Struthio camelus: one gene and its partner. The protein of the gene in region 2 interacts with the protein of the main gene of each other region in a pairwise test. Links are inferred from orthologs where the notes say so. Each region holds a gene or a part of one and is shown on either strand. Other genes may lie near its edges.

Evidence for each region. The genes of interacting proteins can lie anywhere in the genome.
Region 1: the proteins of EPM2A (region 2) and PPP1R3D interact in a two-hybrid assay, tested with the Homo sapiens proteins (2 studies listed by BioGRID, with this or other methods). The link is inferred for Struthio camelus from reciprocal best matches to the Homo sapiens genes EPM2A and PPP1R3D.

What each region holds. Positions count from the first base shown.
Region 1 is NC_090959.1:14,318,803-14,329,415, forward strand, and holds the start of PPP1R3D (protein phosphatase 1 regulatory subunit 3D), read right to left. Parts: upstream 5,319-10,613; 5' UTR 4,454-5,318; coding exon 3,530-4,453; 3' UTR 1-3,529. Other genes in the region: protein FAM217B, read left to right, coding at 6,378-6,472, 7,695-7,803, 7,908-7,993, 9,517-10,613. UniProt on the Homo sapiens protein: Seems to act as a glycogen-targeting subunit for PP1. PP1 is essential for cell division, and participates in the regulation of glycogen metabolism, muscle contractility and protein synthesis.
Region 2 is NC_090944.1:83,976,696-83,987,191, forward strand, and holds the start of EPM2A (laforin), read left to right. Parts: upstream 1-6,240; 5' UTR 6,241-6,324; coding exon 6,325-6,586; intron 6,587-10,496. UniProt on the Homo sapiens protein: Plays an important role in preventing glycogen hyperphosphorylation and the formation of insoluble aggregates, via its activity as glycogen phosphatase, and by promoting the ubiquitination of proteins involved in glycogen metabolism via its interaction with the E3 ubiquitin ligase NHLRC1/malin.

The DNA.
Region 1 (10,613 bases), on a different chromosome or scaffold from region 2:
AGATTTTGATGTTTGCTAGCAAGTGGATGATTATCTCCCAGAAGACGGGTTCCAGCAACATCCATGGTAATTTGGTGTTCAAAACCAGTCTCAGAGGAGATTTTTAATAGCGTGCTGGGAGGCAATTCAGTACTCTGGCAGACAGAAGTACTATGGTGACTGGGAAAGGACAGGGGAAACACACTTTAAAATAGGGCCTTTTATTCAGCCCAAGCACTTCTATGTGTGTTCACTGTCTTCTCTTCTGACAAAAATATAAGACTCCACTTCTATAGACTTTACCAATACTGGGTAAACTCTATTTAAATTACTTAAGTGAGCAAGTTTCACAAAAGTAATGGAACACAATTCAGTTTATACCAAGAATCTTCCACAGTCACTGAAGGTGCGATTCATCTCACCTGACTTTATGTCTACAGACACCGCTTGACATAATTTGGCATGGTTTGCATTAATGCTGAGAAATATATTACGTCTGAACTAGTCTCCCAATGTTCTCTCCGCATTCAGTGCAGACAACAGTTTGTCTACTGACTATATTGACTACATCTTCATTGACAATAGTCTAGGATGAAGAGTTTAGATGTATATGTCATATATGTTCATATGTTATTTAGTCCTATGAAGCCTGCCATAGGAGGCAACAAACCTTACAATTTGATAGTGCCCCATCTTACAGAGCTGCTTATTTTCTTCTGCCATATGAGGAAGACCAGACTTCTCAATTCCCTGTATTTATTCTTCCAGGACACAAGTGTTGCTCCCAGATTGGCACTGGTCGCTCCTCTGATTCAGATGCAGAAAATAAAGCAGGTGGATTGCAAGCCTACAGCAGCCCTTCAATCTGTGTAGCAGGCAATCACACCTCATCCCAACCTCAGAGCGCTCTACCTGCCTTAGACCTCCTGGTTATGAAATATCCTGATACAGTAGTTGTGTCACTCCTTGAAAACAATTTCTGCCTCAACTTACAACCTCAGAGTGCTCCAATACAAAACTGTAGTATTAGCGGCATTCATTGTCTTTTAAATGGACAATGAAAATTCTTCTGTACTAAAAAATAAATGATTTTTACCATTCCCTAGTAGTAGATAGCCACTGACACACAGGTAACTGAACACTACATAGACAAGCAATAAAAACCTATTGTTACTGAAGGTACAGAGGCTTAAAACAAGAGCAATAATCAGAATCTGACCTTCAGAGGCAGAAAGTACTTGCAACTCAAACTGAATTCAAGTACTGACAAACGCCCAGTACGGCTGAAATAAGACATTCAAAATACATCTTGCATTTCTGCTGCTATACTGAATAACTATGTAACTTTTATAATATCAGCTCTGTGATTTTTTGGATGCTTCACTTAGTTTAGAAATCAAAAAGGCATATAAACAGCCACTTCAGTAACAGCGACTGCTAACAGAAATGACCATTTGAATTAGAGTATGAAAAATATATGAATTGCACGTTTTATCAAAAGATTTTTTTGGAATAAATCTCTCACCTACTGAGACAACATCCAAGCAAAGAGCACATTTAATTACCCTAGAAGGTGGGCTAACTACCGTAATGCATGGAAAGAATTTCTAATTCAATAATTTTGTTTTTAAATCAATTTCAGAGCTGTCTACATTGGTCAGCAGGTATGAAACAAACTATAAACAAACTAATTGGCAGAGGGTTAGTTCTATCCTGCCACATGACGAACAAGTCAATTCTCAATTGTTTCAAACCGGATTGAGTTTCCTCAGTACTTTGAGGAGATGCTCAGCAGCGCATAGAATCGCCACTCATGACTTCAGGCCCTAAAAGCCACAGACTAACGGAGCTGGGCAACTAGTTCACTTGAAATCCTGGCCTTGTTAAAGGGGTATCGCACCTAAGTAATCACATTAAGCTGCCAAACATGGGATGCTTCTTGGAGTTTCTGCAATTCCAGAATGACCCAATGGACTTTTTTGACTAACACATACTTGGCTGTGTGCTGCCTACAATCTTGATTTTAAAAATAATTTGTGATTTTGATGAATAAGCAGCAATCCAAAATAAGACATCTGAATATGCAGCATGATTTTCATAGTATATTCCTTCTGAAAAGCAGCTCTTCTAATATATCCAGCCAACCAGTTTTGAAAACTTACACTATACTTATAAAGCTAAAGTACTTCACTCTGCATGCAGTGAAGAATATGCATTAAAACATTCAAGGACAATCATTTATTTACTAGATTTAAGCCTGTTACCAATCTCACACCAGACTAAATCCTCAGAAGGAAAGCAGCCCAGCAGTAAGCTACATATTGGGCAGACTCTTCTGTGTTACTCTGCTCTCAGTGCTGCAAAAGGAATTCTGTTTGTGGATCCATGTAAAAACCAATTTACCAGTAAAATCATCATTTTCCCATTTTGTGTTCAGTCTTGAACTAGTTTATAATCAGTAGTAGGTGATTAGAGAACTCAAAAGTGCTACTGCAATAGTACTGGGACACTAGGGAAAAGGGAGCGGGGATTCAGGCTTCTAGCGTTCTATTCCAAGGCTCCGCGACCAGCTCACTGCACTGCCTTTATAGTTTGTCTTTCATACCCATGCCTTGAGTTTTAAATTTATCCGTTTCTAGTATGGGTGTAAGATCATTAGCTTTTATGTAGTGCTTTGAGATCTTCAAGTGTGATCACAACAAAAGTGCAAAATTGCTCTAGTTTCCCTTAATAAAAATAGCTCCACAAGGAAAGGCCAATTCCATTTCCCTGGAGAAAAAAACCTACTTGTACATCACCCCAAAAGATGAGAACTCCCCCATGGTCAGCCTAATTTACACTTAAATCACGCCTGCTCCCTATAGCAAACATTGCAGATGAGAAAAGGCACATGGTTAAGAAACTTTTTTTTTTTTTTAAAAGGGAAACAGAGGAGCAGCTGGCACATTTTCATGTTGTTTTAGCTCATAATTAAATTTCTTTTGCAAACTAAATATTAATAGAAACACTTAACGTGGCTAAAACGTTAACAAATATACTTATGTAAAAATACATACTTCCCTACTGTGCTTGCCATCCAAATTTTGCTAAGCTGGAATAGTGCCCAGACTTGGTGAGATAACATAAACAAAAATAGAAATAAAAACAGTAAAGCCACACTGTCCATTTAAAAAAAACCAGACATGGTAAAACAGACTCGTTATAAATATTTTATGCAGTCCAGAATACCATTAGCAACAAAAGTGCCTTTCTTCGCTTTCAGATATTTAGTCTGACAGCATCCCTTTGAACCATTCTGCACCGATTCACACACCACAAGAAATCACGCGGGCTTTCAACGGATGTAACGCGATACACATTTTGGCCCTTTATACTTTCTGAGAGGTTTAGAACAGTTTGTACACATCACTGGCTACTTTCCTGTTCTGAAACACTTTGCCAGGTTTGGCAGGTTTCAAAAAGAGGGTTTGTATTGCCCTAGGAGCACAGAGCAATGCCAGGGAAGAGAATAAGGCTATTCAAAAGCTGCTCTACATCCAATTTCTTTTGCTTAGATGAAGTGGATCCAGCTCTCCTCACATTCTCTAGGCATCTTAAGGGGGTAATTCCGGCAGGTAAAACTGTAGTTGTTGCCTCTGTTGTTATCCCAATATTCCTGCCCATTGACTCTGTATCTTGCTGCAAATTGGACTACAGAGCACAGATGAAGGAGGAAAGGAGGTACAGGGAGAAAAAAAGTGAAAACATCAACCTGAGCTTGCCCGTTTTTCTCAGGGATGCTGCTATGCCAATGAGCACACACTTCATGGAGGCTTTTCCACTGGTTGAAGGTGTATCGCACAGATACCTGCTTCTCAAAAGCAATATTACAAACTTGGATGGTGCCACTGAGCCCCAAATCTGAATTGGTCACTCGTTCAAGACACACCTGCTGCTCCTGAAGTCGGGCAGAGAAATCCATACAGTCTGCAGGCTGCTGGAAGTCAGGGACCAAGCACTGCATGGTGAACTCCAGGTCCAAGCTACTGCCCCAGAGGTCTGAGTTTATGGAGAGCCTGGAAAGGACATGCAAGGGGATTGACGGATCCTCTCCAGTCTGGAAGACTTTCACTTCAGTCAGCTCCAAGCCCAAAGCATCAGCAAATCTCACCCTGTTCGTACGACCCTCGCATCCTGGAACTCGGCACTGCACTCCTGCTCGCTTTCTTCTTTCAGGTGATGTAGGCAAAGACCTCGCTCGGCGGCGTATGATAGGCCGTAAAGCTGGATCGCAGCTGGTGGCAGTGCTACTCTGAGGCCGATTTGGTTGCGAGCCCCCCTTGGCCGGGATACTGCTCAGAAGACTCACGCTGCTACTTGTGTGAACTGCCTGGGGCCGCTGCTGCCCTCGTCCCGGCTCTGCCTCAGCCTGTAACATGTTCTGATAGAGATTGGAGAGGTAGCTGGGACTCCTCCGAGGACCACGTACCTCCATTCTTAACCGATGACAAAGAGCTGAGGTTGACGCTGCCGATACTGAGTACTGCCTCTCTGAAGCACGTAACTTGGGAACGACAGCCAGAGCAGGAGGGTATTTGGGGTTGTTCTGCTGGTTGCTGCAGGAATTCACTGGAGCAACGAAGCCTTCCGCAGTGAAGGGCAGAAACCTGGAAGCTCTCGCAGCAGCTGGCAGCGAACCGGAGGCTCGTGCATCGGAGGGGAAAGCTGAGGGCCGCCTCACCGGCTGGTGACCTCGAGGCTGTTACGCTGGCTGGAGGAGCTGCTACACAGGCTGGAAAGGGATTCAAGACTATCACACCTGCTGCTGGAGGACCTGAAGCTCTCCTGCAGGCTGGAGACCGACTGGAGGCTGTCGTGCGGGGCGCCGGCGGACTCCAGGCTGTCCCAGAGGCTGCTGGGGGCCCGGCGGTGCCCCTGAAGCGCCCCGGAGCGGGGCTGCAGGCTGTCCTCGCAGGCGCTCGTCGACGCCAGGCTGCCGCAGTGGCAGCAGGGACACTCGAGGCTGTCACACTGGAGGCTGGGCGACTCGCGGCTACCGGCCAGGCTGGGAAAGGCCGGGAGGCTGTCGGGCGGGACGGAGGAGCCGGAGCCGAGGCTGCTGCGGCGGCTGGAGGGCGTGAGGAGGCTGTCGGGCGGGGCCGCGCAGGCAGAGTCGGTACTGTGGCCGGGCGGGGAGGGAGCCGCGCTCGGGGACTCGGCAGCCCACATCAGCTGGCGGCAGGGCAGGGCAGGGCGCTGCGCAGCCGGCAGCCGACCGCGGCCCCACAGCCCGCGGCAACCGGCACCGCTCGCCCCTCCGCGGACAGACCGCCGCCGCCGCCCTCGCCAGCAGCGCATGCGCGTCCCCCCCCCCCCGGGCAACTAATCAAGAGGAAACCATCAGCCGTCCGCGGTGCGCATGCGTCGTCACTCGGCGCGTGCGCATTAGCCAGAGCGACGTCGCCGCAGTCGACTTGCCCTTAGCTGCTGGCGGAGGCAGGTACCGGGCAGGTGCTGGCGGGACCGGGGCGCGGGGGGGAAGACAGCGAAAAAATACACGGATATAGCTCGTTATTAACGCCCTGCAGCAAGACCAAGGGTGGGTGAGCAGAGGTAATTTGGTGCTAATTGTCTGCTACCCTTTGGAAATCATGCGCCCTTGGGAATGCTGTTTTTAGAAGATAAAAAAAAATACTGCATGTTCTGCTGGTAGTATTTTTAGTACGAATTTAAGGGTCCTGGGAGATTTGTTTTGGAACAAGAAGAAGAAAATTAAGCATTCGATAGAGAACTTGCATATCGGACGGTACCAAGAGCGCGTTTCCTGCCGCGGGAAGGACGAGCCGGCGCGGCGCGCCCGGGAGGCAGGCGCAGCGCAGGGCAGCGCAGCGCAGGGCAGCGCAGGGCAGCGCAGCGCAGCGCAGCGCAGCGCAGCGCAGGGCAGCGCAGCGCAGCGGCGCCCGCCCGCCCGCCCGCCCGCCCGCCGCTTGGCTGCGGTGCTTGGCTCCGGTCCTACGCGCGGCGTGGTGCAAGGGCAACACGATGAGGAGCACGCCAGGAAACGAAAAGTAGCTCATGCAATGCTGCTGTACCTTCTCATGCTCCCCCCGCCTCCCCGTACCTTGCCCAAGCATCCTCTCAGGGACGGGCTTGTGAACCGTATGCCGACTGCCGTGAAGTAAGCACAGCGCTGGGGCAAGGGAGAGTGTTTTCCAGGACTGTTTGGGAGCTGATTATGTTACTGCTTTAAAAAAAAATAATAATCACATTGGGAGGAATGGCATGGTGTTTGTTTACTGCATCTCTAGGACGTGGTGATGCCTGCGTTTGATGCGCTGTGTCTCATCAACCCGAAACACTGGAGTCCTTTGAAGGTTATGTAAAAATAAAGGCGCAGACACTCTTCAAAGAGAGGAACAATGGGACCAGGCATTCAGGAACATCCTTTATTACTGCGCAGCGGGACACCGGAAAAGGAAAGCCAAATCAATGAAAACCACAAAGGAACGGTAAAGTAAGGAAATTACCTTCTCTCTTTATAATTAGAGATTTCTCTAAGTACTGTAAATTAGTTAATAAATGCATGACTGTGTACTGTTCAGATTCTCATCCTCCTCTCTGATCCACAGCAACGCAAGCGGTTGCGCTGTTTGATCTTGCAGGTCCCAGCGACAGAGACGACTGCGTCAGTGCTGAAGGCACAAGGCTTATTTGCATGATTTTATCAGCTCTTAAAGTGATGACTATTTTTTAAAGCGAAATCAAACTACACTGACATAACAGCTATGAAGAATATGTGCTGCCTGGCAAAATTAATTGTACTGCAGTGAATCTAAAGTAGGCTGGGGAGATACAACTTGTTTATTTCTGTTCTAAAATGACGTTTTAAAGCTTTCCTTCTTGAAATTAGTAATATTTCTTGTTTGTAGAACAAACACCACTTTCTTGACTCCTACAGCATACACTGTTTTAATGATTCAGTGTGGGTTTTTTTTTTTTGTTTGTTTGCTGCTGTGCTTACAGAGAAAAGTATCTGATCTATTAGAGGAAAGGAAATATTGTGTAATTTAGTTTTAAGCTGTCCAGATCAATAATGTCATTCCTTTCACTTCCGTATGAAGCTTTTCCTTATCAATATTTTGCATGATCCAACAACAAAAAATAGTGAATTTTTTGTTGAATAGTGAAACTGACTTTGTTTGTGCCTTTATTGCAAAATAGTTTCTATTAATATTATAATAGACTATATGCTACCTGTTCACTTTGCTCATTTTCTTCATAGAAAAATTCCTTTAAATTTTACTGAGACTATGCAAATGAGATAGCCAGGCAGGAATTGGCTTGTACTGGTCTTCATATCATACTTAAAGATTACTTCTGCTAAACTGCAGTAGGCCCACAAGTAACAGGTACTACATAAATTAATAGTTAAGTATATAATCTCTAATATTTACTATTTATTATCCCCAACATAACTTTGGTTTCCCCTGACAGAATAGTCTTTATAAGGGCCAAGTTCTCTTATTATATTATCTATTGGAATTTTGCACTTTTGTGTAGTATAAAAATAAAAAGCGACCACAGTATGGTTCTCATGAACTTTAAGTCTCTCCAAGCATAGTTGCCGTCAGCTCTCTCTTTTAAACTGAGTTGCACTGTAAACTTTTACTATGTTTCTGTTCTGACCATGAAATATGTTACTATTGGTGTATGGTATTCTGTTTAATCCTCGCTAGTTACAGCGGTGGAAAAAGCCATCTGAGTACCAAAGGACTAAAGAAACAAATTTCTCATGTGAGATCTTCTGGAAGATTAGGCAAAAATATATCAAATGCCACTGAAAAGGTAAATCATTCCAGTTCCTTGTTTCCTTACAGAAAAAGAGTACTTAGTTTATATCAGCTTTCTTGATCGCAGTAGCAGCATCACATACTTTCCTATCTTTCCAGACTTCCCATGACACTCAGGACGATAACCAACCATGTATTTTTTACAAGGAAAGAAACCAGCTGGGTGACCACATTCAGCCAAGCAGGTAATTTTATGTTAAGGTTCTCTGCTTTATTTGTAGACGTTTCAAATTGGTATGCAAAATGGTTGTGATGAAATCATGGGTTCATTGATTTCTATAAGAATTTTACCTTTGGCTTCACTGGCCCCACAATTCAGCATTTATGAGGAAAAAAAAACTTAAGTTATTAATATGGAAACTTATTATACTGCTTCAATGAGCTTCTAGGCAAAATCAGAATAAAATAAGACAAAAAAATTATCAGAAAAATAATTACTCATGATAGCGTCCCTGAGAATTAAGAATCAACATAGGAATTTTCATGGAGAAAATACCTTTAAAAGATCCATTTGAAGATGAGGAGAGTTTTGGATTTAAGAAGTATTCGAGAACAAGCTCTTGTGGCAGAAAGTATTCGAGAACAAGCTCTTGTGGCAGAAAACATAACCCAATGTGTGAGAGAAGAAAACTGATACTGGGAGGGGAATGCGAATAGTGAGAAAAGACTGAAAAATGAAATGACTATGGCGTGTAGAGTTTTAATAGTGGATAAAAAAAATCAGAGAGCGTTCATGGTTGGGTTGAAGAAGTTAATGGGAATAATATTGCCAGATACAAGATTCCTTGCAACAGAATGGAGTGGATACAAGCAAATATTACGAGCCTAAATTTAATCTTAGAACTCTATTTTGGGAGCTTGCTACTTTAAGGAGAAAGTGAGAAAGATTTACTGAAATTAGCGTCCTCTAGAAAAATGGAAGCTATTTTGGATAAGTTAAGTTTGGTAACATACTAACATTGTTTTTACTGCTGAATCTTGACTCTTTCCACAGTGAGGTCTCTGTAAACAGAGATTGCTGTTCATGACCTCTTTTTGCACTCCTCATCATACAAAATTTTTCCTATTCAGTTGTCCGCTAGTCCCTCTCTGTTTGAATGCAGGCACACACAGTTCTCTCCGTTTATGCGGTACTGTTTCTGACGTTTGCTGTTACATTTCCTCTTTTAAGACAAAATAACATCTTGAATTTAGTATTGTACCTCAGGATATTTTGGGGTGAATGCTACCTTTTAATTTGTGATTGATGCACATGTGTATTCATTTGGGAACTATAAGCAGCAATAAGTTTTTATTTTTAAACTATTCAGCATTCCTTACAGAGAGGGTCACATTCTCAACTGCTATAAATGAGTGAAGTGAAGGGGGTTGCATCAGTTTATACCATTTGACCATGAAAGCTTGATTGTTTTGTCTTATGTCCTAACTATTAATTCTGGCCATGGTCTCTGTCTTTAGACTGAATTTCTATTTTATGTGTAACAAGCATTGCAATGTATATCAAATAAGTCAAACCACAACACAGGGTAGCAGGCAGTGTTCTCTTTGCTAGCAAATATTAATCTTACCTCATCAGTAAGTTTTCATGCCAATTTTAGCTTAATTCACATAGATCCAAGTTCTTGTAAGACAGTAGCAAGTCCTTTGTAACTTGTTGTTCCAAATACATTAATCATTTTACTTGTATATGCTCTTTCTTCCTGTTCAGAACGATGAGCGTTTGCACCTCATTGCACAGAGTACAAGGATCAAAGAGGAGTGTCTCAGAAAGAAAACAAAGCGAATCTGTGCTGCACAGGATCCCTCCTAGCATGAAGGGCAGCTCACAAGGTAGCTTCAGGAGGGCAAAAGATGTCCCGATGCAACACTGTTATTGCAGTAAGAACAAACAGTTAGAAAACACTCATAAAGAACATGTTGCTGAAGCTGGTCCATGCTCTTCTAAATGGCAAGAAGCATCTGTAGATCAGATGCTTCTCGATTTTGAATCGGTACGAATTATTAAAGAAGATGCTGAAGATGATAGTGCCAGTGACCTTTCTGATTCAGAAAGGATTCCCGTTCCTCCATCTCCCTGCACACCACCAGAACTCATTCTCAGAGCTGAAGAAATTGATCCAGTTTGTTTGGAACATGTCCTTGATACAGGGTTTAAAGAATCAGAATATTATTACCCAGACTTCCTCCCACCCCCTTTCAACTCCTGGGATTTGAAGCAGCTGGCCATCTTTGTTACTGTAGAGGGTAAAACTGAATTTCGACCGAAGCCAGCAGGATTTCTTGAGAAATACATTGATCGTCTTTTGCAGCTGGAATGGCTGCAAATGCAGACTGTACAGAATGAGAAAGGAAAGACAGCAAAAGTCAGACCTCAAACTGCTCCCAGCTCCATCCGTACCCTAAAAAGCCCTGGGAAAGGCAAAGTATTGCCCAGCCCTTTGCCTAGCAAGCAAGCAATTCCCCAAGAAAGCATTACAAAGCTCCCCACAAGCTATTCAGGTCACAGGAGAGACGCATACTGTGAAGAAAACTGCCAAATGCATGCACAGCCAGGTCACTTTTCTGAGAGCATGGGACGTGCACTGTCATCTCAGAGAAATTCTGGTGAAGTAAGGAGTGAGTTGAGAAAGAAACCGACTGCAAAGCAACAACTTCTCAATACGCAGCCCTCTGAAAACAGTTCTAAAATTCAAGGCATCGGTAACATCAGACCCCCTAAGCAGACCCCTGTATTCCATGGTTCAGCTGCTCCCACTAAAGGCTTAAAAACATATTCGTGTACAAATCCAAAGAAAAACGGCAATG
Region 2 (10,496 bases):
AAAGAAAGAGCTTTAAGTTGTGATTATTTTTTAATATAACTGGAAAAAAAAATTGATTGGTAAAGTCAGTCACCACTAAGATGGTTTATGACAAGTATTTAAGAGCTACTGCTAACTGTATGCTTAAAAAAATGCGTAACGGTCTATCTATATTTCATCCTCTGTAGCCTCTTCTTTTATACAGGATTTTAGGATTACATTTGAGGCATGACATGAACACGTCTGTGTTCACTTACCTTTTTTTAAACAGTAAAGGGAATAAATCTGTTAAATGAGTTGTTATAAAATGAAACACAGTCCTCCTTCCAGGTTCCTTAACATCTGGTCAGACTATTTTTCTGAAAGATTTCCACGTCTTTTAATAACGCACATTAAAAGTTCCTGTCAACTGTGGAGCCAGGGATGTGTTGAAGAACTACATCTGTTGCTCAAGAGCATACTGAGAGCAAACTCTTTTCTTGTTTCACTTTCTTTCCCCTGGTTGCTTTGGAAACTAATAAGGGCATTCTTTCCCCTTTTATATAACAACAACCACTATTCCGGATTTCTATTGTTCCTGAATTTAAAATCAATAATTTAGTCATTTATATTCTGAAGATAACAAAATGAGTATAACTTGTAATACTTCAGTGATGCTAAGATCTTAAAGACAGGGCAAAATTTTTGGCAGTTTTTGCCAAATGTTTTGCCTTCTACTGCTGTGGATTTCTGAAGTATTGTTGATCATAACACTGCATTTGCCAAAAAAAAAAAAAAGAAAAAAAAAAGAAAGTTACATAATGAAAACCAAGCAGTAACTTTTTCTTGAAGCAGTCACACGTGTATAATATATAGGAACTTTCTCTCAACCAGTAATTTGCTGAGGTTCCTAGGAACACTGAAACTATGCTCAGCTACTGATGCATTAATTAGAGTGGAGCAGAGTTACTTGGGTCTGTGTGCATTTGCTTTTGAAAATGAAAGGCTTACGTAACAAGCCTCCATAAAGAAAGCACTTTCTTCTACTTAGAAATTCACATGGTGTACATCACATTAACTTTGGGTCAAACTGCACTCTTCTAACTAATGGAATAATGTTTTGGTATTCCATACAGTCAAGTGTTTTGTTCCTTATTTCAAAAGGGCTGAACCTCTTTTCTTCTAAGATGGGTATTTAATAAGAAACTTGATGTTTTATTGGTAGTAAAAGGCTGCTTTCAAACAGTGTACCTTATAATTAGTTTGGTGTTGTAACAATTTACTGTTATATACTACTTTTCAGTATTTTTCAGTGGAGCATCTCAAGTTACTTTACAGTCATTAAATCTTTACTCTTCTACAAGAGATTTACTCTCTGAGTAAATCCTTGGCCTCTGTTCTGGCCCGTTGTGCCAGGCAGAAGTGCCACATTAATGTTAGGACAGAAGCTCCAAGTTTGCCTGGAGCTTCTAGATCTTCCTGGTGTGGACAGTCTACAAGAAATACATAAGGCTGGCACAGAGCTTCCTGGAGAGAACTGTCGCGGTCACTTTGCCTGAAGCAGGAAAGGAGCCGTGTTCTGGGCTCCTTTGCAATGCTTGCAAAGGTATTGGGCATTGATGAGGTTGATAAGGCATACTGAAAGGGCCCTCTGGTGAAATATGTTGGGACCTTCTTCAGTTCCCAAAACCCTTCAGGCTGGGGAGGATGCAGAGATGGCTTTTTATTAGAGGCACTGGATTTTGGGGAAAAAAAAAAAAAAACCACAAGCCTACTAGAATAGTTATTCCTGTATGCATTACTGTAATGTTATTGCATATTTGAGCTGGCTAGTTACTTTTAAAAATAAGAAACTGTTTTTATAAGTTCAGGAAAAATGCTATACACAATGATATGCAGAAGTGAAAGTTACCTCCTTTAGTGTCCTACCTATTATTTCAATATAGTTTTCTAATGCAATTACTAAAATGGTCAGTCATGCCAGATTTTTTTTTAGCTTAGCCTGCCTGAGACTGCTACACAAACTAGCACTCAGAAGCTAAAACAGCTTCACAGAGTTATCTGTGCTCTGAAACGGCACCTGCAACTACAGCTGTACAGTGTGCTGCCTTTCTCTTTTCTATAATTAGAGCAAACATTTGGAAATTGCGATAACACTTTTCCCGTATCTTTACAGGAAAGAAAATGACCTAAAAAGGGAAGAAAGGCTTGTCTGGGAAGGAGCACAGCTAATCCAAACATCACGCAAAACTTGCAGCAGCATAAAGAAAGACCTAATTATCATCCCTTTTCCGACCAAATCTTTTCAGTAACTGTGTGTTTGGTTTTGTTTTTCAAACTCTGTCTTCACTGCAGATTTCCCTACTTGGAAATATCATTGGGGATCACTGTACAGCAACAACAGATAAGGCTGTGCCAAGCAGCAAACAGGCCCATGGTGTAAAAAGCTTGTAATCAGTAAAGGACATGTATGCTAAAAACACAGGCCACCCTAATATGAAAGGTATTAAGTTGATCTGTGATTGTAGTAGTGTTCACATTGCCCAGATAGCTGTGTGCTCTTTCTAAGTAGCCACTTTTCAAACTAGAAAAGTGAAGAAAACAAGCATTTGTGGAAAGAAAACATGACTTTCCTCTTAGAAAGTTGAATTTTGGACTGCTGTACACTACTGTCAAATTTCTTGATTAGTATCTTTGTTAAATCCAGCCAGCAACACTTTCTCTGTCCAAGTTTCCTGAATGTAATGAATGGTTCAGATCCCTGAATACCAGATCAATTTTGCACCAGGAAGAGGCATTATAAGGAATTAGAGGGCCTTCTGTAGCATAGTAAACTGCAAGCATGTTGAAGCAGGTAGAACTGAACAAAAAGGGCCAGCTTTCCTGAAACGTTAATCATCCACAGCAATAGGAGCTGTATGAACAGCGACTGTCAGTACTGGTATTTCAGCAGAACCTTGTCTAAACTTTGATTTGTGGTTCTGCAAAAGTTTAATACATAGCAAAAGAAGATAAGGGTTTTAAAACATCTCATACATGTTTTACATGTATGAAAATATAATCACAGCTCCAATTTCTGGATACTCAAATTTTTCCTTAGAGCCCATTTAGCCACAGCAGTTAAGCAGGAACTCAAGACCTAACTGTTTTTGCTGCAGCTGGTACATAGCCTTGGTGATTTCCCCATGTATGATCTTAACCACCTTCACAAATTCTGGAGGATGGGCTAGATTTAAAAAAAAAAAAAAAAATTGGAAATTATGTAGGGCAAGACTGACCTCTCAATACTATTAAGGAGAAGTCCATGAAGCGATTGATCCTTGCACGGATTCCCATGTCTAGAGTCTGTTGCTGTGTGCTAATGCTGTGGAAGAACAATCCATTTTTCTCATACTGCTCTTCCCATTTAGTCTGTCAGAGAGCCAGTCAGCACTGACAAACACCTGAGATGGTATGAGTGGCCACGAGCTGGATTCTAGAAAATAAATTTGGCACTAAGAATCACTGTGTTGCTAGTCTAACTTGAGAACTGAGGTAGATCTAGGCTTCCACACAGTAGATGCTGATATAAGTGTATTGCTAGATCCTAAATAGCTGTTAAGGATGCAAGGACACAACGTTTACTGTTAGATCCTGGCAGGCCACAGTGCTAAAATGGTACTTTGTTCCCACAGGAATGAACATTTAACAACAGTTCCTAGGACAGTTAAAGGCAATTTGATTACTTGATTATTAGGGTTTTGGCCCACGTTGCTCCAAAATCTTTTGAGCGACTTGCAAGGCATGTCAGGTTGGGATGAAGACTTTGAGGAATAAAAAAAGAAAAGAAAAAAAAGTAGTCATGTTTAATTTTGTGGCTGTAAGAGATAACTAGACTATAGGGAAGGCTTTTGGGTTTGAGATTAGTGTTGAGAACTGTGGAGAAGGGACTTTGGGTCAAGCAGTTCTAGGATAAGGGGTCATTTTGACAGGAGGAAACCAGTTCATTGCTAATTTATTAGAAGGCTCGGGGTCATACTTAAACTAATTAGCGTTACAGCAACAGCTAAACAGTGAAAGTACTTCAACTCTTGCTATCCCAAACAATAGCAGTACGTTTCCCTTTTGACTCTAGCTTAAATTCCAGTTTAGAGACTAGCAATCCATAGACCACGCAAATCCAGCAATGAACATACATCTCCATTTCCTTTTGAATTTGAACCCAAACCTCTCTGTGTCTGTATCAGTCTCAGGTCTAACGATAATCCATTCACTCCTGTTTACAGACATCATTCTAGTCCTCAACTTGGTAGTATTCACGGGTAAGATTTGTTCTTCTATTCCCACTGTCCTAAACACATGGGACTCCAGAGTCCCAAGCCAAGCTCTAGTTCTTCTCCTAGTCTTGCAAGATCCAGTAATAAATCCAGCTCTTCAGCCCCTCTTGTCTTGAATCTTAACGTTAATTTGAACTGTAACAACAGTTTAGAAACCTAAAAATGAATCACAGGCCATTTTATAGGCATTGTCAATCCAACAAAAAAGCTTAGTTTTCAGTTACTGCTTTGCCAAAAACTCCCACTCATTTTAACTACAGCCTGGTGACCTATAACTGATGATCAGCTATTTATCTCTGTCAGCTCCACCATTCATCTTAACTTTATGGGTTTTGGAGGAAAGATCAAGTAGTTAAGTGTCTCAGCTCTTGTCATTTTTAACCTTAACCCAACACCTGATATTGACAGGCACAAAACGAATTAAGACTGAATCTGGAGAAGAAACGGTCTTAATTACTTTTAAGGCTGGTATTTGCCATATCAGAAGCTAGAGAACTTAATTTTTATTCTTCCTACATGGCATACATGTCTAAGATGATGATGATTTGGTACTTACTAGGTACAAAGAAGTTAAGGTTTGTCTTAAGATAGGTATGTGTTGCTTGTCTCTTTATACTGAGGCTTAAACAACAGCCAGGAACTAAAGGAACAGATTTGTCGCTGCTTCCTGCAGTTTCTGACCTGGGATGATGTCTGGAATCAGCAAGAACAGATGGTTTCAGGTAGGCACAGGCTACTTGATTACTTTCAGGGCTACTGTCAAGCCTGAACTTTGGGACAGCAAAACTAAGTTTAGTGTTCCATTCTCTCATGCCCATAATGCTACAATTAAGGTTTATCCTAACAGGGTAGAGATCTGAAAGGCAATTTTGAGACAGGAATAACTAGAACGTAAGGTTGGGCAAAGGTAAGGATTAGAACATATTGCTTTGTTCTGTAAAACTCACAGTGCTACAACGAGAGCTGGCGCTAACAGAAATACAGGGAGGAAAGCCAGGATTCCCTTAGCTTTGGTTATGCCTGGAACAGTGGCGGCATATCACTTGCACGAATTGCATCAGGAATAGTAAAGATGAGCTAAGGCACTCTTAAAAATTGGCAGTACATACACTTCAGCGTGTCATCACGACACACAGGAAATAAGCAGTCATCTTTTGACGCAGAATTTCTTTTGACTCATTGAAAGGCCTTCATCCTGTTCCCAGAACTTGACCTAAATAAAGTTAGTAATCCTCTGTTTCTGTCCTTAGATGCTTCTGAAATGGGTGTATTGAGACAAGGACTGCCCTATCACCAGTTGGATTGCATCCTCCCTCTCAGTCATTCTTTGCAAGTCCTGAATATTGCTACATATAGGACTTGCCAAAATTGGGTCAGAAGGGCAAAGCAAAATGCATGCAGTTGAGAGACTGAGAATTTTTTTTACATCTACTCTTCCGTTCCTATTTCCTACTTCTGGTCTTAACACGAGCAGCTGCCTATCTTCAGGGAAGATATAAACATCACGGAGCCTAATTCAAGGCTAAACCTGGAGAACTGTTTGTAATGCTGCATGTATTGTGCTTGTTTAATGATGTGTTTACTGCACTAAATTAAGTCTGGACTCTCAGGAGTAATTGCAGAAGCTTCCTTTAACGAGGTAATAATCGTTTGCTAAAGTCAGTGTACATAACGTGTAACCTCCTGCAGCCACACATCGGTACAGGTATTTATTTACCTGCAGAGGTAATCCGCCGTCCCAGCCTTAACTTTAGAAAGATATCCGGCGCTGAGATGAAGTTCAAAATCCCATCGGCGTTCGAGGAGCGGAGCCCCTTCAGCTTACAGGCGCGTAGGGGGCGAAGCAGCGAAAAAGCCACGCCAGGAAAAGCCCGGCCGAGGACGGCCGCGCCCAGAGGGCACCGGCGGCCGCCCCCCCCACCCCCCCGCCGTCACGTTCCCCCGCCGGAAGTGAGGCCGCGGCCGGGCCCCCCCCAGCGGCCGCGCGGCGACAACCGACGCCGACTCCGACAACGCCACCGCGCCGCGGCCGAGGCTGCCCGCCGCCGCCATGCTGTTCCGCTTCGGCCTGGTGCTGCCGGCCCGGCTGACGGCGGGCGGCGTCGTGCTCTGCGTGGCCGGCTCGCGGCCGGAGCTGGGCCAGTGGGACCCGCAGCGCGCCGTGCCCATGACGCCGGCGCGGCCCGCCGCCGCGCTGCCAACCCAGGAGCCGGCGCTGTGGCTGGCGGAGGTGGCGCTGCCGGACGAGGACGCGGGCGGCACCTTCTGGTACAAGTTCCTGCGGCGGCAGGGCGGCGACGTCCTCTGGGAAGGTAACGGGCGGCTCGGCGCGGGCCCCGCCTCCTCGGCTGGGCTGGGCTGGGCTGGGCTGGCCCCGCCCGCGCCTCGGGGCCGCTGCGTGCGCGGCGCGAGCGGGCGTGGCGGCCGGTGGCGAGCCGTTGGCGGGCCGTTGGCGGGGGAGGGGGCGCCTGGGGAGGCGAGGGGCGCCGCGCTCTGGGGCGTTGCCGCTGGGCGGCCGGGGCTGCTCGGCCAACGGCCTCGGCGCGGGGCTGGAGGGCTGCTGCGGGCGGCCGGTGGGAGCTCTCTCGCCTGGCCGTCGGCTGGGAGGGCTCGGGGGCTGCGGAGATGGCCGCGGGGAGGCAGCGGGTGTCCCTGGGTTTGGGCCTGTGGGGATGCTGGCGGAGCCGGCGGCAGCCTCCTCGCGTGCGGGGAAGACCTGAGTCGTGCTTGCAGGTGGAGCTGGGCTGTGGGTTACACGATGGGTGTACTCACTAGCGAAGGCAATTTTTTAACCGTTTGATAGGGGAGAGCGAGTGTAGAACGAAGCTGCTTTTCTGGGTTGGTAGAAGTTATTTGAAGCAGTTTTTTTCTTTCTTTTTTTTTTTTTTTTACTTTGGGCGTTCACTGTTCTGAAGCTTTTTGTTTGTTTGTTCGTTTTTATTTTTATTTTCCAGAAGTCAAGGCCATAGAATTTCCCCAGATAACTTCTGGGTGAAGGTGTGATTTGTTATTTAATTTTAGTGAGCTGCATATCCAGAGAGTCATGATGTCCTTTTCAGGCTGGTAAATTTTACCATTAGAATTGTGGAATTGCCAAAATATTGGAAAAGATCTGTTAGAACTTTAGACTGTTGGAACTGTCTGAATCTTTTACCTATTTCAGTATTACTTCCACTGGATTTTTCTCCTGTTCTGTGCTGTTAAATGTTCTATAACTTCAGTCGGCTTCCATGAACTATTTTAGTATGTATAAGTATCTTAAAGAGAACGCTCTTACAGTTGCATGCTGAATCAAACAAAGCTCTAAATTCACCTCTTCACTGAGAAAGGGATCAGACTTGGTGAAAGCAGGACAGATTAGAGATTTCACAAAAAAAAAAAAATTTTAACTTCTAAAATAGTTTTCTAATCCATATAGAGAAGTAACAGTTGCACTTTACCCATTTTTAAGGTTACATATGATATTTTTGAACTGCTGTTTCATCATATAGACTAAAACATGGATATTATAATTGTTGCATTTATTTTTTCTACAATAACGAAAGGGTGTATATGTTAACTTTTGTGAATATGTTATCTATATCATGAAGCGTGTGCTAGTAACTGTTAAAAAAGGCAGAGTATACTGTTTATTTTAGCTGTTAAAATACAACAATGTTTTTCTTTTGCAGAAATGCAGGAAAAGTGAATTTATGAAATAAAAATCTTTGGATCTTTGCAAGGAAGCAGAACTGGGTCTTTTTTGAAGGTGCCAAGTTCTACATAAAATTTTGGTGGTATTGGTATATGAAGAGGCTTTGACTACACGCGATATAGCAATTAAACAAAAAAAAAAAAAGTGTTCCAATCTGTAAAGAACCTGCAACTGTGAAGTTATGGTTACTGGCAATAATGGTATCAAGGTGTTTGTTCATTCCTGGGTGCATGTTTAATGATGTAGTCTACTGAATAATAAACAATATTTATTACTGTTCTGGCCATAGTGCTGTTAGATACAGTTTTAACCTGTGTGAAATTTTCCTCTTGTTCAGCAATGAATGTTCAGCAATTTGAGCCTGATGCATGGCTATAAAACTAGAAGACAGACTGGAGTATCATCCAACTACAGATCTTCTTTTAGTTAGTCACTCAGATCAGCCATTTCTTTCCTGAGTTGTTATTTACTGAAAAGATCTAAATTTGCTTCACTCTTGAGGTTTTTTGTTCTTCATATAACATGTGAAAGGGGCTTAAGAATGTTTTTCTATCCAGAAATTTAAACAAGAGACTGCAAGATATTGCTTATGTCAGTTATTTTAATGATCTTTTTCAACTGTAAATCAACAGAGCTTTGACTGTCATCTGCTTATTCTTGTAAAAAATGCAGTTCAAAAAGACAACTACCTTTTTTTTAAAAAAAGGAGAAAACTTAGCATTTACTTTTCGCAAAAGACATGCGTTGAATGTTTAGTGTCCTGCCTGTTTAGATTTAAAATGTGCTTTGGGAGACATCTAACAGTAATGAAAACATCTGCAATTTTGAAGACGTGATCATGAAGGATAGTGGAAAGTGTAAAATGATACTTGCTCTAAATTTGTGAGTTGAGGCAGTCCTATGCAACTGGAGGGAGTCCTGTCTAATTATGGATGTCAGGTATTTATACTGTTAGATGTGAGATACAGATCATTATGACAAATCACTCCTTTTTTATTAGTACACTTTAAGGGAGACTTCTACCAATAATGCGTATTATTTTTATAATACTAATATTATATGTTTTTATTATAGTATTATTTTTATAATACTAATATTATATGTTTAACATATTTTAAATATAAATTTAGTTAATCTTCATAAGCTGTCCAATGCAGTGGCGAAACTGGAAGTAGAAAATGATCTGTTTCTATGGGCTGGAAGAGTCAAAGTCAGGGTCCAGTGTTACCTGGCTTTTGAGTTCCATCAGCTGGTCTGCTAACAAGAAGACTTCAGACCAAGGTCTGGTCTGCGGGAGAATTCCGGACTTCTTGTCTGGGTCTTGTAGGAACTAGTGTACCTCTCCAAAAGGACAAGACGGGAGAGGAAACTCTTGAGCTTCTGAATGATCAAGTTTTTACATCTGCTGTTGCAAACTCTACCCCACAGTGATGGTCGTGGTCTGCATCCAGTGGCGGCCACTTAAAGCTGGTGGGCTCTTCTGGCTCAGATCACGTGGTTCCTATAAATGCTGTGGCCCAAGTAAGGTTTCGTCGGGAACCTTGCTTTGCTTATCCGGTGTGAGCTCAGCTGAAAAGCCTGTTGTTCAGGTGAATTTTGAACGTGTGGAAAACAGGATGATTATGTTAAGCTTCAGGATTTGGGAAGTGTTCTACCCATTATAAAATATAAAGAAATGTATCTGTTTTTTTCAGAATAACTATAGCCTATATGTCTTTGTACTCTAATGTTGATTCTTCAGAATTGGATTTTCTTTCAGTTTGTGAAGTACAAATGTATTGTGGCTACTGTCAAAGCTAAATAAATACAAGGTGGAGCTTATACCTGAATTCATTTTTCTGAATTTATGCCTGAACGCTAATGTAGACCTTTTATTTTTTGTTTTTCTAAATACACTGTAGATACTGTGCAAGACACATTGCATAAAAGGACTGAGGATGCTAAAGGTATGCCTGAAACTCTGTATTTTGAAAGGATAGAATACAGTATCCTGGTAACGTACAGGAAAGTCACACCTGAACATTTCTGAAAGCGAAAAATGCACTGCAAAACAAATCTAAGGTGATATTTTAAAATGCTTATCCATTTTTACACAGACTTGTGTTCCTGTCACATAACCATTGGTTTGATGCAGTTGATGCTTGCTTGAGGCTTGACAGATTGTGCAGCAATGCCAGTTAAAGCTGAGAAGTATGATCGACCTACGTTCTAGTAATTTGTGCATGTGAGCATAGCTTTTTCCTTTAAAAAAAAAATAATAATTATTCGTTGAGGGGGGAGGAAGAGGAGACAAAAGGAAGTGCATCTTGTCTGCATTCATCTGGCAGTGTTGTTTTCTGTGGTTTCTTGGAGACACAAAACAAACAGCACAACACAGTTCAATTTAAAAACAGTTATGTTAGACAGCCTGTGATTTGGTATGTTGTCCTTCCAACGTTTCCAGTTCCTGCTCATGTGAGCTTGTAGGTTATAGTTTAAGCTTTCTGTTGAATAATGTACACCTCTGGAGATAGTCCATAAATTCACCA